Linked DNA regions of Solanum lycopersicum. Each later gene encodes a partner of the first gene's protein in a complex. Links are inferred from orthologs where the notes say so. Each region holds a gene or a part of one and is shown in the gene's direction. Other genes may lie near its edges.

Region 1 (2,981 bases):
TGAAAGCATTGGAACTTCAAAGTCATTATTCCCATCCCCCATCCCCCATTCCTACCTTTTCTTGATAGAAGAGGGAAATCCACTACCTGTCACTTAAACTATATATATGCACTTAACAGACTTTGCTGTGCTTGCATGTCAAGATGGATAGATCACATCGAAACCCCTAAAGTCTGAAAAAAAATGATGACAGAAAATATTGAGTGATGGTTTCTTATATCCAATTGTCCTACAAAATTTTTCTGTTGAATATATTCCTCCTTCAATGTGGAAAAGGAGGTTATAATCACACGTACATCCTCTTAGTGTGTCGCTGTATAATTTTGTGAAATATGGAATAGCTGTAGAGACTCTTCTCTTTTTTTCAATTTGTGGGTCCTTTGTTCATACAATACAATTGGACAAAAAAGGAATGCAAAAAATACCAAGTGATTGTTTGTTGTATCCTGTTGTCCTACAGCATATGAGTGATGAACAGTCTCCTTCTTTAGAGTGGAAAAGGAGGCTACAGTTACTCAGACAACCTCTTTACATGTTGCTATAATTATCTATATGGAATAGCTGTAAAAATCCTTTGCCCCCTCATTCTGGGGGTATATTGTCCGAGCTGTACAGTTGGACAAAAAATACAGAGTGATTGTTTGCTGTATCAAGTTGTCCTATAAAGTTGAGTGATGAACGGTCTCCTTCTTCAAAGTGGAAAAGGAGGCTACAATCATTCGTACGTCCTCTTAGCTTGAGGTTCTGGTTCATTTTTGCTTTCCTTCGCTACTTTATGTACTTGTTCCTTGTTTTATGGGGTTCTTGGTAGGATTTTAATTCTGAAGCACGATAGTAGATATCACTTGCATGTTTAAAGCTAGGTGATGTCAAAATGAGTTTGTTGAGGTGACCGTTGAGACTTTGGAAATATGATGTGATGAATTGTTGTTATTGAACCGTCTTTTATGGTTACTGGTTGAGGTGGACTCTCACTCAGTTCTTTTTTCCAAAAATGAAAACAGCACCTCATCCACGGAGCATAATTGCCAATAATAAAACCTCCCAAGGTTCAGACTTGCATAAATGCAGCAATCAACACTATCATCACACACGTCGGCGGTACAAGGAGCTTCAGCTGCGGAGTCCAATGAGATGAGTGGAGATGCGCCGCCAAAGCAGGTGGCAATGGCACTGGAGCGACTGGGGCAGGCGAGTCGACTCATAGCTGATATTAGAATTGGCGCAGATCGGCTGTTGGAAGCCCTATTTGTGTCAGCTCAGCGGCAACACTCTTCTAAACCTTTGCATCTTATCCACAAAGAAGAAGCTTCCATGAGACAACACCTTCAAGAGCTTCGCTCTGTTGGAAGACAGTTAGAAGATTCTGGTGTCCTCAATGATTCCCTCCGATCACGAAGTAATTCATGGGGCCTCCACATGCCTTTGGTTTGTCCTGATGGTGCTGTTGTTGCATATGCATGGAAGAGACAACTTGCTGGTCAGGCTGGTGCATCTGCAGTTGATAGGACCAGGTTAGCTCTCAAGGCCTTCAATGGTCAGAAAAGACGATTTTTCCCCCACCTTGATACCAATTATGGTGGGGAGGGTGTGACAAAGAAACTTCGTGGTCCTCCATCAAGTGATCAAGAAGAAACTTGTGAACTGAAATCAGTGTCTGAAGTTTTGACACATCTGAAAAAGGAGGTCTCAAATGTAATAACATTCTCTTACCGGCGTTTGGATTGGTTGTTGCGAGCTACCTCATTGCCCTCTTCGACCAGTGAAAATTCTATTGAATTATCAAAAGAGAGTACTTTCCAAAGCACGAGAACATTAAGACAAGGATCATCTGATGATGATGTTTCAGACAAGGTTGCTATAATCGAATTGTTGATTCCTTCTGTTTTTAGAGCCATAGCATCAGTTTCCCCTGCTGGTTCCTTGGATCCCGACGCTGTAGCATTCTTCTCGCCAAACGAGGGTGGTAGCTACATTCATGCGAGGGGATTCTCCGTTCATCATGTATTTAGGCACATCACGGAGCATGCTGCTATGGCTTTACAGCATTTTACAGGTGTTGGTACTGAGTCACCCTTGCTTTCTTTGCTGCTGTGGGTTTGCAGCTATCAGACTTTGTTCTCGAAAGCTTGCAGCAAGTGTAGCCGTCTACTATCAATGGACAAAGAGTCTGCCATGCTACTGCCCCCTGTTAATCGCCCTTACCGAAACTTTTCTGCTGGAAAATTCTTGTCAAAAGAGGAGCCAAGTGTGGATTCTAGTCAGTGTTTTCACATCGACTGCTTTTCTGAGGAAGCATAGAAAAATCAGCTCCATTGTACAAAGAAATTCCGAACCTATAATGTAGTATGTGGCCTGAGAGTGGTTGGTTAACGAAGTTTCTTTGGATTGTATTTGTTACACCAAACTTTAGATTAGTTACGTTTAACTTTCTTTTTGAGGTCTTTAAAATCCTACTAAATCAATGACAATTTTATACAAGTGATCTTTTCTGAAGTCACTAACGAAGGTTAGTTAACAGAGAGTCATTTATTTTGTTGTTTTATTTCCAAAAGATCGAAACAAACTTTTTTTGGGGTATGATTAATTTATTTATGCTCTGCTTTAATTCATGCAATCTAAAGCTGTTGGTTTTTTTAGCCTTTCTAGATTGGTCTAATCATTAATGGAATTTAAAATAGGAGAATTTGAATAACAATTAACAAGTCTTATTTTCCTCTGTTTGATATGCCTTTACATCTTTTTCAATTATAATGCTAATGGACATACAGTAAATATTCGATAAATTAATAATCTCTATAAAATAATGTTTTTCTCTTGTCTCGACTTAGATCAATGGATTGAAATCATCAATTTCGATAAGATAATGAAATAATATATTTCTAGAAGACCTTTATATAAATATGTGGTTCCATTAATATCATAAATTAATAATTCTTTACAAGATCAAATACATCTAAGAAAATTTAGTGAAATATGAT
Region 2 (3,937 bases), on another chromosome or scaffold:
TCTCTCTATAAAATAATTTTAATATTAAAAGCACATCGATATTTGTTTTTTTTCGTAATTTGACTTTCAAAAACACTTTTTAAAAAAATTATTCAAACACAAATTGCTTATAAAAACACTTTTTAAAAAAATTAGTCAAACACATATTGCTTATAAAAACACTTTTCAAATGAATTTGCTAAAAAGTTTTTTTAAAAAACTTGTTTTAAGAAAACGTTTTTGAAAATAAATAGTTTTTAGATTAGTATATATTCATTTAATCAGCAAATGTATTTTTAAAGGGAAAATTGTATATAGCAAACTAATAACCTAAAATAAATAGAGTAGGTAGGGTTTGATTTAATTATGCTTCATAGTAAACGTTTGCAAAAAAATTGTCAGGCGCCTCTATCCCAAAAATCTCGTTCGCCACTCTCCTCCAATCTCTCACTCGCTTCCTCACTTTTTACACAAACACAAGTGTATAAAAATTGTTTCTAATTGTATAAAGCAGAGAAAATTGTATAAATACATATATTTTTGTTCCTCTCTCTCCCCTCTTCCAGGTCTCGCTCGCCACTCTCCCAAATCTCGCTCGCCACCCTCGCCTTTCTCACTTATACAAACAAAAGCGAAATGTATAAATTGCGTTTCTGTTTGTATAAAGCATGAGAAAATTGTATATACACATGCAAGTACATATATTTTCGTCCTATACAATTATAATTATACAATAAAAATACCACCCTGCCCAATTTCTTTTGTCTTTCTCTCTTTCTCGTTTTATACAATTCTCAAATTGTATCTAATTTCTCTCTTTCTCGTTTTATACAATTCTATTCAATTGTATATTCCTTGTCAAGTCTTTTTTGTCTTTCTCTTTCTCATTTTATACAAATTCAAATTTTATATAATCGTTCTATACACTTATAATAATGCAATTTGCTTTATACGCTTCGTTTTTATACAGTTCTCTGCCCAAGTGTCTTTCTATTTTTTGTTTTATACACTTCATTTTATACAATTTGCTTCAACTGTATATGTATAGAGAATTATATAGTTTCTATGTGTTAAAGAATGACAAAAAGTCCCACATCGGTGATTAATGAGATGAGTGAACTCCTTATAAGGCTTGAGCAATCCTCCACCCTTTGAGCTAGCTTTTGAGGTGTGAGTTTCCTTTTGAGCTAGCTTTTGGGGTGTGAGTTACGCCTAAGACCTAATTTCACACTATGTTGAATTTTTTGTTTGCTATATCTTTTTTAAAACCTTTATAACATATTAAACAAATAAAAAATTGAAAAAATGTTTTTTTTTAAAAAAAATATGCGTTAATTTAAGCAATATGTTTATTCAATTACATGCTTGTATGATAAAAATAAAAAATAAAAATTACAGGCAACAACTCGGAGCTGAGACTATCTCCGACCACCGGTGACTGCCGTTCTTCTGCCACTCATAGCCGCCGTTGAAGGTAAGGTATGATTGACTTCTCACTTGTAGATGCCGATATCAGACATCTCGCTGGCTCCTTTTTTAATAATAAGAAAAATATTTCGTGCCTGTGCGTCTTATATGTATTTGTATTTGTATCTGAGCTTTGTTTCACTCATGCATGATATGAAATATCGTTGTGCATTTGAGCTGAATTTGGGGCTTTTTGGTTCTTTCGGAGCTTCAGGGATTTGTAATTTGAGGACCTTATTTTTTTGGGTCCTAAATCCACTGCTTGCTTTAGTGGCTGGCTTTAGGGTTGAGCCGCTGCAGTCAGAGATATGAGTGATGAATTCCTCCAAAAAATGGAGAAGAGAGAAGATGACAAAGAGTTAATGAAGTAAGTGGAATATGAAATTAGTGAGGTTTTGAGAGTGTAGGACAAATTTGGAACAGCGAAGAAACATAAGACTATCACTGGTTGCTTGTTTAATAAACTGCAGATCTCAGGTTCAGGGCTATTGAACGATTCGAAAGAGCTCATTCGGAGTTGAGTGAATGGCTACTCCGAGATAGAATTTGAAAAATTGAATTCAAATTTATAAGACTATTGAACAATTAGAAAATTGCAAAAAACGAAATGATTCCATTTGAACAGTAAGGGGTGATTAATCAAGTCTGGCAATGGGTTTGAGTGTCGAAGGAAATAGCCCCTTTGCAGAAATGCTAGAGGAAGACGGTGAAATGTTAGGATTGCTCGTTTGATAATCAGCAGGTCTTGGGGGTAAAGGCGGAGCTAGGATTTGAAGTTTACGGGTTCAGTGTTCTAGTCCTTGATCGTTCGGTATGGGGGATGGAATAGACAAGGATTTCTCTCGTGGGATCAGCTATCCAACTTCTATATGGAATAGCCAATCTCAACATTTTAGAACATATCGCATGAGATTGTTATCCTGCATCTTGCCAACTACACGCAGGATAAAATAATCTCTTATAAATTAATAATTTATACATATTAAATAGATTTCTTAAGACAAATATAGAGTTCAGAGAAAAGTTGTTGATTTCGGCCAAACCCGTACCTTGAAAGAGTGTAGTAGGGTGGTAAGTTTAATGGACATAATACTTATTAGATGTAAGTTTTTCTTCTGTTTTCGGATTGATTACAGAGGATTTAGGTTTCTGATTGTTTAATTATTTGACTGCAAAGATCTCAGAACCAAAATCTCTGAAAACTGCACATAATCAGGTTTTATAGATTCTGTTTATTTCTCCACATCTAGATCGCTCTACGGCATTGCAATTCAGTAATCTTTTTCTCCTGTCCTGACAGCTTCCCTCAGAATACATGGATTCGCAAAGCCAGAATACTTCATTGCAGCGGCTGCAAAATGTTGAGAAGGTAAATGTTTCTACAGGATTATTGACTTAAGATGGGTTGATTTCAGTAGCTGCTATTCTTTGTCATCAAAATACTTAATGTTCTGATTTCAGAATTGATACTACAATATTATTCCTTCCTTGCCCGAGTCCTTGTTACTTGTTCCCCTATCCTGTATACCAAAATGTTTCAAGAAAGAAAGAGAGCGAGGAGAGTACTTTTTGAATTTAGGTGAAATCCATATTTCGTTGATTGGGTGAAACACATAGACAAGCTTGAAGATATATGGATGGTGTTATGCCTCGGTAAGGGACTCCACCATTGAGCTCTCCTAAGCCTTCTGGAGTTCCGGATCCTTCAATTTCTGGGACAACCGGACAAATGAAATGAATGAGAACAAGAGCCGCTTGGCTAGATAACCATGACTAAGAATTTCATGTCACCCACCTAACTGTCAAAATGGGCTGACCCAACCCAACTCAACCCATCCTCAAATCAGCCAAAATAATATAATTCGAAGTCAGAGAATGAAGATGGGAATAGTGTTGAGATGACGACAATGATGAATAAATCAAAGACGCTGTGGACCGAGAATAGGATCTGAAAGGGCTTTTCAAACTTCTGCTTCTGTTGGTTGCTTTCTTCCTGTCTGGCTCATTGAGTATCTTCCACAAACTCCAGGCTGATCTTCAACAGTTGGAAATCAAATCGTATTCGAGATCGTCCTGTCATATGCCCTGAATATCTACTGACACGAGTTTTCTCTGGTCTAACGGAAACAGCATCTCTGTTGTTTCCTAGTCATTGGTTTCTTCAGATTAAAAACGTGGAGATGATATAGCATGTCAAGTGCAAAGGCAACTAATCGTAATTTGATGAGTAAATCACGATCATAACTTTCAATGCGGAGTCAGTAATCACTTTTCTTGATAGAAAAAATTGTAACTGAAACATTACTCTCATACCTTCTGTTGCTGTATCTTCCTCTGATGCTTGCAGAGGATAGTCAGAGTTCTGGAGCTAGCAGGAGGTGTAATGGATGAAATGGCAAATCCGAGCGGCCCCAGGAAGGAGCTTATTAACAACCATTGTAGTGAGTTCATGCAACTAATCAAGGTAAGGACATACTTTACTTCTTTGCAC
Region 3 (4,084 bases), about 6.1 Mb from region 1:
CCTCAAAATTTAGTTTTTCAAATATTTCTCATTATGTATAATTAAAGAATTATCATTTATCTGCTTAAGTAGAGCTAAAAAATATTTTGTTTGATCGAAGATTGATATATTAGTGGGTGAAAGTGAAAAAGAAAGCATGAAACAATTGAGCCAATGCACCATTCCTTAATTACCAATCCGACATTAAATGAACCATTACCTTATTAGTTGGCTAGTGGATCAGTCTATTTAAAAATCAATATCCGACAAGCCAAATAATTAAGCATAACTATCCATCTGATCCGTCCAATACACAAACCTAAATTTTAGGTTATTGAAAATGTCCAAATAATATATATGGACTATGATGATCTAGTTGTATAAAATAAATGTGATATTTAAGATACAGACATCAAGCTATTAAAACACACTATAAAAAATGAGAGAATGAAAAGAGTGATCCTATAAACGAAACTAATTTGAATTTATGCTAAAGCGTTTGATTGCATAAGTGTCATATATCTCATAATGAAATTGACGGAATCTCCCTTCATCATTATACCTCAATGCATTATTTAATTTTAATTACGTGATAGTTTTTGAGGTTAAGGTATGCCTCCAAACATGAGAATGAAACTCCATATATTCAGAGATGTTGATCTTCTTCATTAATGTGAAAATAACCAGTTTAAAGCTTGAAAATTTGTAGTGAAACAATATTTGAAAATAATAGTTAAAACTTTTTGACGAATAAATAATGTAACGGTGCATATAATTATCAAATAGACGAAGCCATCATCACTTTAAGAAAATCAAGAAATGTGTAATTTCTTGAAAGAGAATTCTGAAACTGGGGCGGAGTAATAAGGGACTACGAGGACATGTTCATCTCTGGACCTGGACAAACAAGTGGGCGAATACTATGACTATAATAATTAGATTTCACTATTACGTGATAATTTTTTAAACAAGTATACCAGAAGTAAATTCGCAATGATTTATTAGACGCGTAAATCAAGAAATTTAAGTTTCATGAAGAATAATTCAGGTCACAGATGAATAATAAATGAATGATTGTTAAACACCGTTTTAAAGAAAAAATAAAATAATAGATAAGTTCTTACCGCTCAACAGATAAGCTCAAACAATATTTAGGCTTCACATACTTTGAAAGGTATATCAAAAAACGCAATAAAAATATTTTTTCGCACACTTAATAAATATTTTTATATGGAAACTTTCTAAATATTATATTTTTTTCTAAATCAACATGATTTAAGGAGATGAATTTTTATAAACTTGGTCAAATAGAACTTTAGAGGTTTTATATTAGTTTTGACTTCTCTCCGACTAGTAGTACCATATTCCAATTTTGCACACCCTCTCCCTTCCGCCGTTACGCGTTACCTTCAGACATCCGATCTATCAAAAAGGGAAAAAAAAAATAGAACAACACTCGCTTCATTCACTCTCTCTACAGGTCGGAGATTCATATTTTGTTTCAAATTCCACAATTTTTACAAACCCTAATAGTAATTGATTGTTTGGGCGGTCAATTTTCATTAAATGGCATTGTATTAGTAGGAATTCGGGATCGTCGGAGTAATTTAATCGGAGGGTTTTGCGGAGATGGCGGAATTAGGGCAGCAGACGGTGGATTTCTCGGCACTGGTAAGCAGAGCAGCTGAGGAGTCGTATGTTACGTTGAAGGAATTGGTGGAGAAGTGCAAGTCGTCTAACTTATCTGATTCTGAGAAGAAAATTGGGATTCTTAAATATGTAGTTAAGACTCAGCAGCGTATGCTTCGTCTCAATGTCCTATCCAAATGGTGCCAGCAGGTTGTTTTCTTTTTTTTTTAATCTATTCACTCCCTCTCTCATTATGTATGTTGATGCATTCAAGATTGAACACTATCTTTTTTTAATTTTTTAGATATAATGATGTGTTTTTCCCAATTTGTGACCCCCTTTATTAATCCAAAGGTACCCGTTACCTCCCACCGGCATAGGTACGGGGAAAATTTTCTTTCCAGGCTTAGGCAGATGGGGATTCTATGTTTGAGTTCTTTAAGGGTTATAAGAAGTGTGCCTTCTTTCTTCTTTGTTGAGGGGTGCGAAGAGTAGTTTTCGACTTCTAGGGTTTCTTTTGTTTCAGGATTTGTGAATTGGAAAGAGGAAAAGGAGAGGATTTTCTCTTTCTTTATTGATGCATTGAGAGAGTAGTGACAGAATGTATATTGGTCATGTATTTGTTTTTGTGAAATTTGTGAGTTGGAATGGAGAAAAATGGATCTTGATTAAGATTAGAAAGGTAGCCGTGAAATGAGTAGGGTGGATGTTGTTTTAGGAATTGGGAAAAGATGGACCACGAGGAGTAATTTAAAACTTAAAATCAGATAGTTAGGGTGGAAGTTCTAGTTATAGTGAATGTCGAGGACAATTGCCAAAAGAAAACAAAAGTTGAGGACAACTTCAAAGGTTTTAAGATTGTACGATGCTCTGTTCAAGTTGTACCAACAGCTTATTTGATGAAAGGCGGAATGATCCAAGAGACCCTTGTATTTGAATCGGATTGTCGATTAGACCCTTCTATTCTCGCCTTTTTTTTTATGACAAGGGAAACCTGGAGCCGCTGCCTTTTGGGTGCACATAGGGTAAAACCCCACTCCTATGCAATAGCTCGCAAACCACATAGGAGAGGTAACCCGCACCAGGCGACTCAGAAGGCAAACCCCCTTGCTTTCACATGCAAGGTGTTTCGAACTTGAGACCTCCAACAAAGCCCTTCTATTCACGACTTTGTCGACTGAACTTTTAGACTCAATGAAACACAATCTTCTAAACCCCTTTGACCCTTCAGATTTTTAATGACATGTCATTTATTTTTAACTTTATTTTGAAGTTTTCAATTTTTTTCCTTATTCACTCCATTTCTCCCTCACCGTCTCTATCCCTTGACCACCTCTTTCCATTTCTTACATCTGATATACCACCATAACTTTCCATCTTTATCGGTAACCACTTCCCAAAAAAATTAAAGACCTCCATTCTCCTCGAAATTTTCATCATTCACAACTTTCGATCACCTTTTTTTTTCAGCAACGCCTCTGTCCACCACTTAAACCACCGTGAAGACTGTCATTTTCTGATGAGATGGTAGAGAAGATGAGCAATCTGGCGATCAGTTCGTTGAAGAAGGGAGAAGATGAAGAGGTTTCCAATATACAAAAAGCTGAACAATTTTGCTCTTTGGGCAATTAACAATTTGGGTTTATTTTATTTTATTTTATTTTATTTTGTTTTGTTCTGGACCAACTTGTTTTGCACTATGTTTTTAATTATAATAAATTGATGACCATTTTTGGTCACGTTTTGACAAAAAAAAACCACCACTGTGAACTCCTCTTCTCCATTGATGCCAATGAACACCACTAAAAGACCTCAATATTTCTGGACATATGCACATAATTTTACACAGCACACACTCCACCTAATTCAAAGAATCACAATCACTCTTCACGCTCTAAAACTACTGGATCTTTGTCACCTAACAATTACGCCAAAAACATGGAAAGGAAGGACAAACCAGGAACAGTAGGACTTATCCCATTTCTAATCTTGGGAGAAAGAGTATGTGTAAAAGAAATAGGGTGGGGTGGGAACAATGGAACTGCTGTCACACCAAAAGAGCTATGAGTTTCCTGTAGATCTTGCTTCAAACAACTTTCTGTAGCATCATTTGAACCTTTAATCTTTGATTTAATAAACTCTTTCGAGGTATATGTTGGTAATGCTATGTACAAGGTTTGTCTTCATGTCTTTCTTCTCCCTTTCATGTCTTCATTTCTTCATCTGTCTTTTTCTGGAAGGAAAGATACACTTGTATTATATTCAGTATCTAGGTGAGTAGAAATATGGTTGTCAAATCTTCCTGGACCCTTAGAATCAACGGTTGGCCCTATATTCTTTATCATTGATCTCGTAGAAACTGCAGTTCAAACTCCGTATTTAAAGTACCAACACAATTATCTGGTTTGCAGGTCCCGTTGATACAATACAGTCAGCAGCTTGCATCCACTTTATCTAGTCATGATACATGTTTCAC
Region 4 (3,500 bases), on another chromosome or scaffold:
GCTCCTGATCAACCTACAGGATTCCCAACTTCTCCAATAGGTAGGAATTTTATCTCATTTCTTCATCTACCAAGGAGAATTAGGTCCATTTCACCAATTAAAAAAGAAAATTGGGACCATTTCCCCGTAAAATTGAAGAGCAAAAAGTGCACTGCTTGCACTGATCTCTTTAAACTTGTTATGGTTCATCTCTCCTTATTTAGCATTCAGACAATTCATGAGGAGGAAGAAGCTCAGATTAGTTAGTAACACATGCACACTGGCTGTTTGTATATACGACATGCGTAAATATCCAATTCAGATTCTTTTCAAAGGGCACTTTACTCCAGGATTGCACATATTTTCCAAAGAGTATGAACTTGTTAATCTTTTAAACAAAATGAGGACAATTATTGATTTTCTGCTACTTTTTTGGGTTTCATTTTTGGTTTTGGAAAAGCTTTGTAGATGACACAGAATCTTTACTTGACATAATTGATACTTTGTAAGATAAAAGAGTTGATTTTCTGAACTGTAAATGTGGCTGCAGCACAGCCTTTATGCTGATATGAATACAACATTACAGTTTTCTCAAAATTAATGAACATTGATTTTCAGCACTTTCAATATGCTTACCTTACCATGAATGACTTCTTCAAACATGAACATAATTATTATTCTATTTGGTGTATAATATATTAGTTTCTGTTGTTCATTTTATTGGGGAGTAAGTAATTGCTAATGAACCTGCTTTTATCAAACGGTGACCAATAAACCTGTTTATTAGCTGCATGGTCAGCCACAGATGCAGTTCTCTCAGCCACTGGGAGCACAGCAGTTTCAAGGTAGGCAGCTACCATCTGGTGCCCTTCATCACGGTATGGGTCAAAGTCAGCTCAACCAAGGAAATCAGCTGAATCGACATTTAAACCAGTTTTCTAGTCCTATGAATACTGCACTATTCAATTCTGCCCAAAGCACACCTAGCTCTCAGATGGTGAGTCAAATATATCAGTTTTTATGTTATTTCCTTCTTCAGTTCAGCCTATCCACAATGACTTACTCATTTTGCCCGAGAATTTTAAGTTCAAAATCTCTAGTTCTGCTGTTTTCTGCCTCTATAAATTAATTTGGGATATTCTGGTTACATCTGAAGAATGCAAGTTATTTATCTCATGCATTGAACTGATATTTCACATACTGAAAATTTCTGGGATCTTTGAAGCTGATAGTTCTAACTAAATGTTTGTTGCATTGTATGTACTGAACCTGTTAGAACCAAAAGTTCTAGAAAATTTTCATCTCTATTTGGTTCCAACTCATAGTTTGTCCATTAGTTTATTTTCCCCTGAAGGCACTCAATGTTGTATAGCACAGGATATGAAGTTATAGATCACATGGCGTGCTGTGTATGTAGTCCTCCCCTATGACATAGATATTAACTAACTTGGTTTACATGTTAATGCAATGCTCATCTGGTCACAGAAATGGTCGTTTCCGTGTCAACAACAACATAACCTAGTGTAAATCCATAAGTGGGGTCTGGAGAGGGTGGTGTGTAAGCAGTCTTACCCCTACCTTGGGAAGGTAGAGAGACTGTTTCCGATAGACCCTCAGCTAAAATAAAGCATATCTGGTCTTTTCTGTGTCAAGCTTCATTGTGTCTTTTGATTATTAGCTGTTTATTATTTTACTAGTTTCTGACAACGTGCGTTGCACGTTTATTCTTTACTATTGTTATATAATTTAAAATTGTGCTATCAAATAGAAAATATTTAAATCAACAATATTAATTTTACCAATTATATTTCATGTATCAACAAAAATAAATAAAAAGGGATTGCACATTTGGCATCAAGCAAAAAGTATGTAAAATTAATTAACATAATATAGTCTCCTTTAACTTTGTATAAGTCTTTTTTATGATCTAAATATCAGTGATAACATTTTATAGCCATAAATGGATATTAAAAATACATGCACACTTATTGATAAGATTGCCTATTTTATTTTAATGAGAAACGATAGAGTGAAATATTTATATTATTTAAGTAAGGTTCTAAAATTAAAAGACAGTACTATCAAAATTATACAAGATAAACACTGAATCTCATACATACATCTATTTCAAAAGCTCATAATAATAGCTAAAAGATTACATTACCACAATGAGTTTATTAGAAATGCAAAAGATATTAGAAACAACAATAATCTTCGTGATGGAGAATATATATCGAAAGAGATATGAGGAGTTAGGCATGTCTAAAAAGAAGTCTTCAAGTTCTTCTCCCACCTCATGTATTCTATTTTTTCATGTCTTTTTCGCCAATCATAGATGGAATAGTTTTTTGATTATCAGTTGAATGACAATTTCTTTCATTTTTCAATGTTATCACCTAGTTCTTAAATAGTAGTAAAAATGTCTGTTTAAATTCTATATTTTTCAGTTCTAAATAATAGTCTTTAATATATAGATAGATGGAAAGATGAAAAATACAAATCATAGACTTAATAAGAGAATTAACATTACCACTAATAATTATTACTTTGAACTTGGAATCTAATCTAGTTTGAATGAATAATTAAAAAGATGAAAAACACAAATCATTTTAATTAGTAATAAATGAGGCAGTTACAAGTCATCTCAATAATTTATTACTAATTCATTCATATATAATAACACACTTTTAATATCATAGTAATAATAAATAAAATAACTAAAATCAATGGCATTAATCGGATAAATGGGGGGTCACTTTTTTCATATGCCAATAATTATTTTAGGATATACATGTACAATTAAAATATGTCTTTTCACATTCCAAACATTTAATTATTTACTTATATTTTAATTAAGAATTAATTTAAGGAAATGCAAAAGTCGTCTACATTTTTATTAAAATGATACAAGTTAACATTTAAACTAAATAATTAAATGCTTTCTGCCATTAAAATATGTGCATCATAATTTCTAAATTTATCGAGCATTCTTTTCTTGAACTTAAAATTCCAAATGTCCAGTCTGCTTCGAATTATGTTAAACTTATTCTATATGGCAGATCTCAAATATGTCAGCAATGGTGCCATCACAAACTCTTCTGCCACGAATGCAGGTGTGTCAAATTGTATTTCCTATTGTTGTTGTCATGCATGCTGGAAGTTATTATTTGGTCAATAATTATAATTCACGACAAGGTGAACTGAGTGCCTTCTCTGGAGTGGAGAAAGTGACCCGATGTCTTCATTTAGCTTCAAAGGGAGGGAGTTCATTTTGTTTTCTGTTTGACAGTTAATTGAAATTTTCTATTTTATTGGCATTATACACATCAAATATTTTCTGTTTTGATATCTGTCTTGACTGTGAATTTGGTTTAAATTGATGGGAGGCTATAGCTATATGTGTGAACATGCGGACACAAATTACATGTGGTCCTTCAACATGTGGACACAACTTACATGTGGACATACACGCTTAGACATAATTAGTAGCCAAGGAATTTGGTTCAGCTTACATTTCTTGA
Region 5 (3,500 bases), on another chromosome or scaffold:
TAGCACCGAGCAGAAACGTGTACCAAGAAGCTGAAGGAAGCAAAGTTCAGTTGTTTATTTTTTCATTCACATGTTGAATCATGCAAAATGGATTCTTTAATGAGTTTTAGTCTTCCGCTTCCACTTCACTTTTAACTTTTTATCTGGAAGGTTCTTTCATGAGGATTCTCTAGTTTGTTCTCTACTGTATCGGAAAGTTGATCTAATTATTACCTCTCCATATGGGAATGCAGTCTTGACATTTGCGCAATTCTGAGCTGATGCAAATTTTTAATGCAGATAAAGTCTATGAAGGAGTCGTACTTAGCAGAGCTCAATGATCTATACCACAAAATTGCTTCTAAAGTGCAACAGGTATGTCATCAACATTTTAATCCATTCTTATCATTTTTGGAGCAATTCTACTAGCTATGTATGGTGCAGCATGTTTGCCTGTGTTGAAGCGTTGTGTATGATTGTAAAGTAGAGGTGGAGGACACCATAAAATGAGCTATTTACACATATCTAGGTGAATACTGTGATGTAGATGCCACTTTTATGTTCCCTTGGGGAAGGGTTCAAGGCCTCCCTAATTCTTCGGGCAAGGGCTTGATTTGTCTAAATTTTAAGAGCGCTTAAGTCAGCATTCTGTTGAATTGGGCACCTGGCCACTATGTTATTTGTCTCTTTATGTTGGTTTTAAGTTTTTCTCCCTTTTTCTTTGCTGTGGGAGGGAGGTGTACTTGAAGCATGAATTTTAAAAGTTTGCAAAGGGCAAGAAACAAGACTTTGACTAAACTGATTTTTTTTTCCTGATTTTAAGCATGATTCTCTTCCTCAGCGTCCTCAAAATGAGCAAATTGAAAAGCTCAAGATGTTCAAGATCACGCTGGAACGCATTGTGCTTTTCTTGCGGCTTAACAAGCAGGATATTCAACTTTCTCACAAGGAAAAGTTGGCTTCGGTTGAGAAGCACATAAGTTTCTTTCTTAGTTCCAATAGGCCGCGCAGCAAGCCTTCTTCTTCTCCACTGCAGGGACAGCTTCCTCAGTCTTCCATGCAGCTTCAGCAACCACCATCTCTTGATGGTCAATCTAATCCGTCGATGCAACCCTCACAGGGTTCCATGGCAGCAATGCCTCAGAATAATCTCACCAACTTGCAACATAATACCTTGTCTGGTGTACCGACAATTTCCAACTCCCAGCAGCACATGATAAATACAGTACAGCCTGGTTCCACTGTGGATTTGGGACAGGGTAATTCATTGAACTCACTGCAGCAGGTGGCTACTGGCTCTTTACAACAGAATCCTGTTAACAGTCCTCAACAAGTTAACATGAGCTCATTAAGCTCACAAAGTGGAACAAACCCCGTACAGGCAAACCTCGGTTCCCTACAGCAAAATTCAAACGCCCTGCAACAGTCACTTCCTAAGCAGCACGAGCAGCAAATGTTGCAGAACCAGCAATTAAGACAGCAATACCACCATAGGCATATGCAGCAGCAACTTTTTCAAAGACAGCAGATAATACAACAGCAGCAAGCGAAGCAACAGCAGACCACGCTGTTGCCAACCCACCAGATGTCTCAGCTTCAACAGATGACTGATGCTAATGACCTAAAGATAAGGCAGCAAATGGGGATAAAACCAGGAGTTTTACAGCAACAGTCAGTTGGCCAGCGTGTTGGATCTCATCATCCCCAATTGAAGCCAGGAATATCTTCACCTCAACTCCATCAAGCACTGTCTCCTCAGGTTACCCAACATCCTTCTCCACAAATTGACCAACAAAATATGTTGGCGTCTCTTACAAAAGCTGGGACTCCTCTCCAATCCGCAAGCTCACCGTTTGTTGTCCCTTCTCCTTCAACTCCCTTGGCTCCATCTCCAATGCCGGGAGATTCTGAAAAAGTTGGTGCTGGCCTTGGATCACATACCACTGCTGGAAATATAATGCATCAGCAAGCTACTGTTGCTTCTGCACCTGCCCAATCCCTTGCAATTGGTACTCCTGGGATATCAGCCTCACCTTTGCTTGCTGAGTTTACTCCTCTAGATGGTACACATGCCAATGTCTCAGCTGCTGTTCCTGGCAGGTCAAGTGTTGAACAACCATTGGATCGCTTGATGAGAGCGGTTTGTATTATACCATTCTACTTAATTTGTATCTTCACTAATCCCAATAATCTGTCTTCATTGATTTGACTTGTTTATTACATTCAGGTTAAAAACATGTCTGACAAAGCATTGCAGTCGTCAGTTCAAGACATCTATTCAGTTGTCAGTATGAATGATAGAATAGCAGGATCTGCTCCAGGAAATGGGTCAAGAGCAGCTGTTGGCGAAGATTTGGTTGCCATGACCAAATGTCGTCTCCAAGCGAGAAACTACTTTACGCAGGATGGACCTACAGGAACAAAGAAAATGAAGCGATATACAACTTCCAACGTTGTGTCGTCAAGCAGCAGTTTGAATGATAGTTTCTGGCAGGTGAATTATTCTGAAACACCTGAGTTAGAGTCAACAGCAACATCCAATGCCAAAAGACCTAAAATAGAGGTAATTTTCTGCTGCCTACTTACAGGATAAAAGTACAAAACTGCACGTCCAAACATGAGAGCTCCGTGGTAGACTATATTGGTTCTTAAAAGAAAAAGGAGGTCCATTCAGGTGCATTTTAGAGTTAAAAAAGTAAAAACTGATCTTTGTCCATGACTGCTAGAGAGAGAGTAGAATGACCAAATGCAATATGGTGGAATATTTCTTGAAGTTTCAGCTTGCATGCAAACTGAAACTCGACTCAGAGTGGTTTTTAACAATCATTCCTTGTGCCTGCTCTTTCATTTTTATTGATTATGTTTCTGCAACTGGAACATCATCAACCCCAAACTACCACTTATAGTTCTGTTCTGAAAACTTTGATGGCTATGATAGAATATTGTATGGAAAAATCAAACATTACTTTATGTGAACGAGACATGAGTTTTACTTCTTTAGTACTCTTTCAGCTTGTGAGTATGTCTAAATAATCTGAACTAAGTATAAGACGACTGTCTAGAATAAAGACAAATGCATTTTATTGAATGCTATATGCAACCTGAGACTTTCAATTGGCTGCTCAGTCTTTGTACCAGACTGTCATTCAGTGTCTACTTATTCAACATATGATAATGCCCAATCCCTACCACAAACTTCCCGGCTCTTAAGTGTCCCTCAGCCTTACTGTGCCTGAGCAGCACTCAGTACAAATCTATACGGAAACAATAAAAATACGCCTTCTTTCTATATGGTTTCAATATTATCCCTTTTGTAGCAACTAGCGTGTGAATATATTCTAGTGGTGAACTAAAACCCTATCTATGAACTATTTTGACTTGAATTCCCAACTGCTCCTCAATTTATTGCTAGGCTCTTTAGCATTTAGATTGACCCAAAACACTTGGTCCTTGCATTTTCATATTGGGTTTTTTTTTATGCCTGGATTCACCCTACCTTTTTTGTGTTACTATAAACAATG
Region 6 (3,623 bases), on another chromosome or scaffold:
AAGTTGGTCTTATGTGATATTGTATGCGTATGAAAAATGTTAGGTCAAATCCATCGATGGCCCCTAAACTTGGCACCAATTTTCACTTAGATACCTCAATCAGGCGATGTTCATTTTAAACACCCCATGTAAGGTTCAACTGTGTCATTTTGATACTTTTCTGACAATAAATAAAAAACTAAAGGAGAGTGTAAATGTGTAATACACTCGTTGATGACGTGGCAAACAATCAATTAAATAATTACATGTATTATTTTCAGTTAAAAATAATTATAAAATCTATTTAGTAAAAAAATTTAAAATATTATTCTACGAAAATTTCTTATTTCATTACACTCAAATCTCTTTTGTGCTTTACAAAAAAATATTATTTTCTTTTACTATTTTTCATATTTATTCTTCTTTTTAGTATTGTTTTTCTTTAAAAAAAGAAAGGAGGGAGAGAATAAACATGAAATATGGGTGTTGGTATCCATTTTTCCGGCAAAAAATAGAGTGAGGTGAAGATAGACTTAGATAAGTAATACAATGATGAAGAAGAAAATGACTTAACAACGAATTTGAATAAAAAATTTGACCTCCATTGAAGGAATTTAAATTCGAAAAAAAAGGGGGTGGTGGCTTGGAGAAGAAGAAGATAAAATAAAATTAAAAATGGCTAAATTAAGTCTTTCACGCGCTATTGTTAAGTGTATCACACTCACTTTGACATGTCAGCAAAAAGTGCCAAAATGACACAACAGAACCCTACACGAGGTGTCTAAAATGAACATCGCCTAATTTAGGTGTTCTAAGTGAAAATCGATAGCAAGTTTAGGAGGTCACCGATGAATTTGACAAGTTTGAGCAATTAAACAAAATATTTAATTTAAACATTAATGTAAAATTAATTTTATTCATCACATATAATATAATTACTCATCAATAATATATAACACTAACAAATGAAAAAAAATATATGTCTCATTTTAATGTACATAGAACACTTAATATATAATACTAATGATGAAAATACAAATAAAATAAAAATTAAGATACATAAATAATACTACTCCTTTAGTCCAATAAAATAGCACTCGTATATATATAAATAATTATTAGAAACTCAAACAATTATTACTCAATTATGATTTTATTCAAATATATTTTAAAAATCTTACACTCTAAAATATTAATTTTGAAACTAAAGGGAAGCTTTGTGTTACAAATGAAAACTATTGGGGAGGAATATGTAATTATTTCGAAACAGAGTGAGGGGAGAAGAGAAAAAAACCAAAAAAAGACAGAGGAGAAGATTGTGGAAGCCATTTTCTTCCTTCAGTCAAGTAAGTAGAAAAACCCTAGTCTTTGTGGTTTTTCTTCTTTTCATTTGCTTAAATTTATTTGAGTATTTTCAAGAAATTTGTGTATTGCATCAATTTTGTTTCAGTTGATTTCTTGCTTTTGAGTGTTTTGGGTAATCATAGAAAATTGTTTCTTGGGTTTGTTTTTGTATGCAGAATTTGATAGCATAATAGCTCTTTAATTGTTGTACAAAGATTCAATTTTTAATGATGAAATTACTACAAAGATTCAATTTTTAGTGATGGTCTTGCTAAAGATTCAATTTTAATGATGTTGTTGCTATAAAGATTCAATTTTTAATGATGGTCTTGATACAAAGATTAAATTTTTAATGATGTTCTTGCTAATTTATTCTCTCCTTTATAGATTTACGGAGGTTAGTGATCAATTAGGGCTTCGAGGGGTTGTGATGGATAATCTCGTAGATGCACTGAGCAGTGCATATCAAGACTTTGTTGCAGCATCAGCTGTTGTACTTGAATCAAAGGAGAGTTCTAATGGTCAGAAAACAGCAGCAACTGATGCTGCATTAGAAAACTTTAAGCAAAAGTGGGAGTTGTTCAGGGTTGCGTGTGATCAGGCGGAGGAGTTTGTGGAATCGGTTAAGCAAAGAATTGGCTCCGAGTGTCTTGTGGATGAGGCTACAGGCACTGTTTCAGGGAAGCCTGGGCAACCAGCTGCAAGTGGCCTTCAACCCATTAGTGCTGTTAGGTTGGAGCAGATGAGTAAAGCTGTAAGATGGCTAGTGATAGAACTGCAACATGGTTCTGGAGCGAATAGTGCTTCAGCAGTACATCCCAATCCTTCTGCTCCATTTGATGCCAGATTTTCTGAAGATGCAGCTCAATAGGTATACTGAAATCTCGCTGATACTTCCTGTCCTTGTCGTTTCCGTTGACTATGTTAAATAATCTGGAAACAAATTTGTATTATTTAATGAACTATTAGTGATAGGCTTTGTATCCTAGACTTGATGATGAAGCAAATAAGTGAACATTCCCTTGGAACTGAAACTGATTCATATATAAGAGCTGCTATTACAAAACCGCTGGTCTTGTATAAATTTCCAGGTTGATAGAAAAGTAGTAGAAGCTAACAAAACTGCTTTTTAGTGGCATCATATGTTCTCTTCCATCAGAACGAATAACTGTGAGTAACCACTAGTTTCTGCAGCAATTATGTTATATGTACTATCCTTACTTTATTTATGAAGAATACTATCCTTACTTATTAAGCTAAGTTTGACCCAACTTCTTTTTTTATGATCAATTATGTACTATCCTTACTTATTAAGCTGAGTTTGACCCAACACTTCTGACAGACAAATGGAAACTAGAAAAAAAAAATTGGTTTCGTTTTATTCTGTTTTCATCGCTGTAAAACAAAGAACTATTAGTTGTGACTGTTTTCAGGTAACTACAGAGTCTGGTGATCAGCAGAGAGAAACAGAAGATCTTATGTGCCTTAGTAAGCCGCTAAAGTTGATGTTTGATGTATGAAGTCATGTTGTAACGATGTAGAAGAAATACTTTGGAATGATATTTGTAAACCACCTTTACCGCCTCCCTCCCTCGCCATCTTATGAGAAGATCTGGCAAATTTACATTTGTGTTTTCTAGGCACAGAGATTTACTTTTATCGCAGTATGAGCTACTGCACTGTTAGCTTTATTTAGATCTTAAGCATACCAACATATACAAACAGGCTGTATGTTTGTGTCTGCTATGTGTACCTTATATTCTCGAGTATTTATGTTTATAATCGATTTTTGTTAGGAAATATATCTCCAATCTTGTAAAGTGGCTTTTTAGTTAATTGTGTTAACCCTGATGAACTCATTCAGTAGGCTTTGGAGACCTCTGGAATTGTTGCAACAGAGTATTATGACGCTTTGAGTGTAGCAGTATTAGTAAATACGCTTTAGCTTACAACTACATCTTGATTGCTACACAAATGCTCAGTATCCATGTCGCTCCATTTAACCTTATCTCAGTCTAATATTTAGTTGTACTGTATAATAACTTTGAAAACAGAAGTTCTCACTTGTCACTGCACTTGGAAACGTCTTTGTCCAATAACGCAAACTAATACTAGTAAATGAGAGATCTATGATGTAAAAGTTCTGATGGTTATTGAGAATCGTCTGAAGGGATGACAAGCAGAGGCTACTCTATAAAGCTATATATATCAGAAAAAACAACGCTCTTTTCATTAATTTTATGCAGACCCAAGAAGAAATGGGTTTTGAGGCAACATACAATGCTTAAGAGCATCTTTTG
Region 7 (4,167 bases), on another chromosome or scaffold:
ATAACAAACAGCTAATAATTCTAACCAGCTACCTAACACACCTAAGGTTCTTTGCGACAAATTTATGTATAAAAATATGCACTTTAGAAATCCGCATATAACTAATACAAATATAAGTTATGAGAAAAATTTGTGTATTTATTCTATGCCTGACATAAGATAGATAACTGACAGTTGCATAATTCTAACCGGCTCCCAAACGACACCTAAGGTTCTTTGCAATGATTTCAATGTATAAAAGTCCGCAATTTAGAAAGCTACATGACTAATACATATATAAGCTACGAAGAAATTTATATATTATTTTATGCCGGACATAAAAAATAACTGCATAATTCTAACTAGTTACCAAACGAAACCTAAGTTTCTTATCAACAAATTCATATCTCTATTTGCTACAATTATGATGTTTTTCTACATATAAAAATTTTTACTCTGAATTTTGTATGAATAATCTATATCCATTCCCCTTCAGTTTAAACTAAAAACAAACTCAAAACCCAGAATTAAAATTCAAATAAATTTCAAAGAATGAAAAAAGATGGAAATATAATTACAAGGGGATGAAGCAATTGGGACACTTGTATCTCGACTGTGCTTCATCACATACTTGACATTTTTTCGATCCCATTATTTCTTCTTCTTCTTCGTTATCGAGGTTTTAGGGTTTTTTCTGGAAGAGGTGGAATGTAAAATTGCAATATTGGTCCCTGAATTTTGAGTTTAGATTCAATCGGGTTCTTACAATTTTATCAAATTATACTTTGAGTCGCTTAATTAATTATGGGCCTAAACTCGAATTCGGGTCCAAAATTTTCAAACCATTTTCTCTTCTGCTAAGTACCACTTTTCTCTAATAATTCTACGAGATACTCGTCACTTTCTATAATAATCATTTTTCGTAAAAGGAATCAAATCATTTTATTCATTTATATAGAAAGAATTTTGCAATAATTAATTTTCGTAAAAAGTATCAAATTATTTTATCCATTCATATAGAAAGAATTTCGTGTTATCAATTTTCGTAAAAGGTATCAAAATCATTTTATCAAAGAATTTCGTAATAATCAATTTTTCGTATAAGGTATCAAATTATTTTATCCATTCCTATAGAAAGAATCCATTAATATTTTTTAATTAATTATATAAGATACTAATCAAATTTTCGTAACAGACATTTATCCACTCGTATGAAAAGAATCCGCTAATATTTTCAATTGATTCTACGAGATACTTGTCACTTTTCGCAATAGGTATTATTCCAACCCTATGTCTTGAGTTTCGACTTTTTTGATATTTTCGACCACTTCATTGAGCACTAAATCACCATATTATCTCTGTTACTGCTAATTGTTTTGGTTTCTCTCAGCCATAGCTTGCATTACTAAACCTTAATTTTACAATTGATCGTAGAAACATATTTTTCTTGCTAGAAAAAATCTCTCTTTGGCTCGTTTTTACTGTTGATTTTTTGTTATGTGATTAATTGGACCTTGTTTGATGTAGAAACCTAGATTTTTTTGTTACAATTGGACCTTGTTTGATGTAGAAAACTGGATTTTTTGTTACAATTGGACCTTGTTTGATATAGAAACCTAGATTTCTAGCTAGAATTTTTTTTTCTTTGGCTCGTTGTTATCGTTGATTTTTTGTTATGTGATTAATTTAGGTCTGCCTGTTTAAGCTTTCGAACTATTTTTTTTAATTGAATTTTTGCAGCTCAGATTGGGGGAAAAAGTGAGATTGCTTCAACTGTTCAAGGTAATTCTTTCAATTTTTTGCTCTGATGTTTTATGTTTAGTTCTACAATGCTAAATGATTGTGTTTTATATGTCATACAATAGTGTGTATAGATGATAAAATTTGGAGTTTGATGTAGAAACTTTGAAAAAACAGATGTATAACAATAAAGATATGTTAAACAAAGATCAAATTGTACAGGCACTAGAAAAATCATATTTTGATGCCAAAATAGTCGAAAAAAACCAAAGGCAACATATACCATATAGTCCAAGGTATTGTCTTTTCTTCACCCATTCTTCTCCTTTTCCATTTTCTCTTTCTTTCCTCCATTTTTGTAGTCATTCGTTGTTTTTGCTGAGCACATGCTCCATCATATAACAATGACAACAACATACCTTGTGAAATCCCACAAGTGGACTATGGGGAGGATAGAATGTATATATGTTGTTGTACGTATGTAGAAAATATTTGCCAAACAGGAGTTAAGCTATGTGTCCAAGTGACTAATTTTCCACATGAAAAGAATCACCCATGGTGGAGTGACTTCATTGATAAAACTTGATACCATTCCAGCACTACTACCTATTTCTTTGAAGAAACTTAGTAAAACTTAAGGTTGTTTGGTCATAGCCTAATGAAAGGAGCAAGTTTGACAGTTTTTGGTGCATATTGGATCATTAGAAGTTTCATGCTTAAAATCTTGGTGAGAATTTGGGTGTACCAAAAGACAAGTAATGACCAAATGCTTAAATTTCTAATTATGGATGGAAAAGGCAATAATTGAAGACCACCCCAAAATAGGGGCAATCCGGGCAAAAACTTTAAGCCTCAATCCAAAACTAAATTCATATTAAGATCCATTAATCTTCAAGCAATGCACTTCTCATACAAAGAGTGTCAACTTTGTTATGATTTTGGTTAGGTGTTAGCTTTTTCGTTGTTACTCTTCTGTTAAACTTAATATCTTTTTGGTTCATAGGTATGTTCTAAAGAGTTCTTTGCATGTAGGTTTGAATAAATTGAAGTGCGAATGGAGTGTGTGGTTCAGGGAATTATTGAGACTCAAGTAAGTTCCTGGAGTAATGATAAAACCTCCCCCTATTTCTCGTTTTTTTCTTATTCAATCTTTTAGAAGGTATGCTACTTGTAAAAGGTATACTACGGCATTTACTGAAACAGTTTTTGGCAATTGATTATTGAAAAGATCTTGACAGTGCTAATCATACTTGCAGCATGTCGAGGCCCTGGAAATTCTGCTTCAAGGGCTTTGTGGTGTACATAAACAAAGCTTAAGGATTCATGAACTGTGCCTTAAAAGTGTCCCTAACCTAGGTAAGTGTATTTTCTCTTTGAACTATTATGGAACTAGGAACTAACCCAATGGTCATGTATGTACTGATGTGGCTGAGGCAAATGCTCACAACCATCTATGCATTCGTAGGGAGGTTTTCTCACCTTTGAGTTTGTACATAGCTGATAATTTTTTTATGGTCCATCTTATTCTAGTTGTACTGTGGTGCTGCATGTCAATTATTGAATGGAATTAGGTTCAAGTATGATTCACTTTCAGTACATCTAATTTATAGGTCGAGACCACATGGTTTTTGCTCATTCACTTGTTGACTGTTGAGTGCCTTGTTTTCAACAAAGTGTTGCCTATCATGGTTTTGTCGATGATACAGATGTGATTCTCTGCGATGATGTACATGTGATTCTTTGACATGTTGATGAGGGTAACGTCGGAGTATTAAAACAATGCTTGTTTCCTGTTAAAGATAGTATGGCAGATGTTGATCCCACAAGGATTGAGTTTCTGCTATCCTAATTAGTGTTGCTCAATTACTATTCGAGTAATCAGATAAGCAGGCGGAATGTTTTTGACTAAAATGAAATATAAATAAGAGTTCTATGACATGAATGATGGTGAAAGAGTATCCATCAGTTCATTAAACGAGTTGAATATAGACTTTTTTGTTCTAATCAGAAGGAGTTGAATCTAGACTTCACTTATGATTAGTGTATGGTGTTCACTGTCCACCAATCAATATTGATCTCTAAGTTATAAGTGCCTCTCTCTATTACACTCAACATTGATTATTCCTCTCGCTTGTAGTAATATCTAAGGAAATAGAAAACCTTAAATTCAGAGCACCTTCAGCTAATCACCTTCCAAATCACTGGTGTATATCTCGATTACATCTAACTACTATAACCTTCTTGGCTAAGTGTATTTCTTTTTATTATAATAGTCAAGGTATTATTATACCTTAAATATGGAAGACGGTTGATTAATTAACCTTGGCTCCCACAAATATATGTTGACCCCTTGTGGTTGTCTACGCATTTGTCATATCATCATCACAATTCATAAAGTATGTTGAAGACTGATTTCTCCTCTTGGTTAGACAAGGAAAAAAAGCAAAC

Evidence for each region.
Region 2: mediator of RNA polymerase II transcription subunit 27 (region 1) and mediator of RNA polymerase II transcription subunit 11 share a complex: the UniProt entries of both Arabidopsis thaliana proteins name them as parts of the mediator complex. The link is inferred for Solanum lycopersicum from reciprocal best matches to the Arabidopsis thaliana genes AT3G09180 and AT3G01435.
Region 3: mediator of RNA polymerase II transcription subunit 27 (region 1) and mediator of RNA polymerase II transcription subunit 14 share a complex: the UniProt entries of both Arabidopsis thaliana proteins name them as parts of the mediator complex. The link is inferred for Solanum lycopersicum from reciprocal best matches to the Arabidopsis thaliana genes AT3G09180 and SWP.
Region 4: mediator of RNA polymerase II transcription subunit 27 (region 1) and mediator of RNA polymerase II transcription subunit 8 share a complex: the UniProt entries of both Arabidopsis thaliana proteins name them as parts of the mediator complex. The link is inferred for Solanum lycopersicum from reciprocal best matches to the Arabidopsis thaliana genes AT3G09180 and MED8.
Region 5: mediator of RNA polymerase II transcription subunit 27 (region 1) and mediator of RNA polymerase II transcription subunit 15a share a complex: the UniProt entries of both Arabidopsis thaliana proteins name them as parts of the mediator complex. The link is inferred for Solanum lycopersicum from reciprocal best matches to the Arabidopsis thaliana genes AT3G09180 and NRB4.
Region 6: mediator of RNA polymerase II transcription subunit 27 (region 1) and mediator of RNA polymerase II transcription subunit 32 share a complex: the UniProt entries of both Arabidopsis thaliana proteins name them as parts of the mediator complex. The link is inferred for Solanum lycopersicum from reciprocal best matches to the Arabidopsis thaliana genes AT3G09180 and MED32.
Region 7: mediator of RNA polymerase II transcription subunit 27 (region 1) and MED18 share a complex: the UniProt entries of both Arabidopsis thaliana proteins name them as parts of the mediator complex. The link is inferred for Solanum lycopersicum from reciprocal best matches to the Arabidopsis thaliana genes AT3G09180 and AT2G22370.

Annotation. Positions count from the first base shown.
Region 1 is NC_090800.1:77,933,198-77,936,178, forward strand, and holds the end of mediator of RNA polymerase II transcription subunit 27, read left to right. Parts: intron 1-1,004; 5' UTR 1,005-1,065; coding exon 1,066-2,301; 3' UTR 2,302-2,481; downstream 2,482-2,981. UniProt on the Arabidopsis thaliana protein: Component of the Mediator complex, a coactivator involved in the regulated transcription of nearly all RNA polymerase II-dependent genes.
Region 2 is NC_090803.1:5,625,740-5,629,676, reverse strand, and holds the start of mediator of RNA polymerase II transcription subunit 11, read left to right. Parts: upstream 1-1,137; 5' UTR 1,138-1,453; exon of another isoform or gene 1,454-1,458; intron 1,459-2,746; 5' UTR 2,747-2,761; coding exon 2,762-2,815; intron 2,816-3,793; coding exon 3,794-3,910; intron 3,911-3,937. UniProt on the Arabidopsis thaliana protein: Component of the Mediator complex, a coactivator involved in the regulated transcription of nearly all RNA polymerase II-dependent genes.
Region 3 is NC_090800.1:84,078,038-84,082,121, reverse strand, and holds the start of mediator of RNA polymerase II transcription subunit 14, read left to right. Parts: upstream 1-1,284; 5' UTR 1,285-1,608; coding exon 1,609-1,818; intron 1,819-4,019; coding exon 4,020-4,084. UniProt on the Arabidopsis thaliana protein: Component of the Mediator complex, a coactivator involved in the regulated transcription of nearly all RNA polymerase II-dependent genes.
Region 4 is NC_090802.1:67,519,684-67,523,183, forward strand, and holds part of mediator of RNA polymerase II transcription subunit 8, read left to right. Parts: intron 1-766; coding exon 767-976; intron 977-3,038; coding exon 3,039-3,092; intron 3,093-3,500. UniProt on the Arabidopsis thaliana protein: Component of the Mediator complex, a coactivator involved in the regulated transcription of nearly all RNA polymerase II-dependent genes.
Region 5 is NC_090803.1:3,498,766-3,502,265, forward strand, and holds part of mediator of RNA polymerase II transcription subunit 15a, read left to right. Parts: intron 1-279; coding exon 280-354; intron 355-802; coding exon 803-2,119; intron 2,120-2,206; coding exon 2,207-2,542; intron 2,543-3,500. UniProt on the Arabidopsis thaliana protein: Component of the Mediator complex, a coactivator involved in the regulated transcription of nearly all RNA polymerase II-dependent genes.
Region 6 is NC_090807.1:64,223,280-64,226,902, reverse strand, and holds mediator of RNA polymerase II transcription subunit 32, read left to right. Parts: upstream 1-1,179; 5' UTR 1,180-1,325; intron 1,326-1,327; exon of another isoform or gene 1,328-1,456; intron 1,457-1,710; 5' UTR 1,711-1,753; coding exon 1,754-2,194; intron 2,195-2,740; exon of another isoform or gene 2,741-2,756; 3' UTR 2,757-3,123; downstream 3,124-3,623. UniProt on the Arabidopsis thaliana protein: Component of the Mediator complex, a coactivator involved in the regulated transcription of nearly all RNA polymerase II-dependent genes.
Region 7 is NC_090805.1:1,888,056-1,892,222, reverse strand, and holds the start of MED18 (mediator of RNA polymerase II transcription subunit 18), read left to right. Parts: upstream 1-1,367; 5' UTR 1,368-1,761; intron 1,762-1,941; exon of another isoform or gene 1,942-2,015; intron 2,016-2,751; 5' UTR 2,752-2,773; coding exon 2,774-2,809; intron 2,810-2,975; coding exon 2,976-3,075; intron 3,076-4,167. Other genes in the region: ZNHIT (zinc finger HIT-type containing protein), read right to left, coding at 558-631. UniProt on the Arabidopsis thaliana protein: Component of the Mediator complex, a coactivator involved in the regulated transcription of nearly all RNA polymerase II-dependent genes.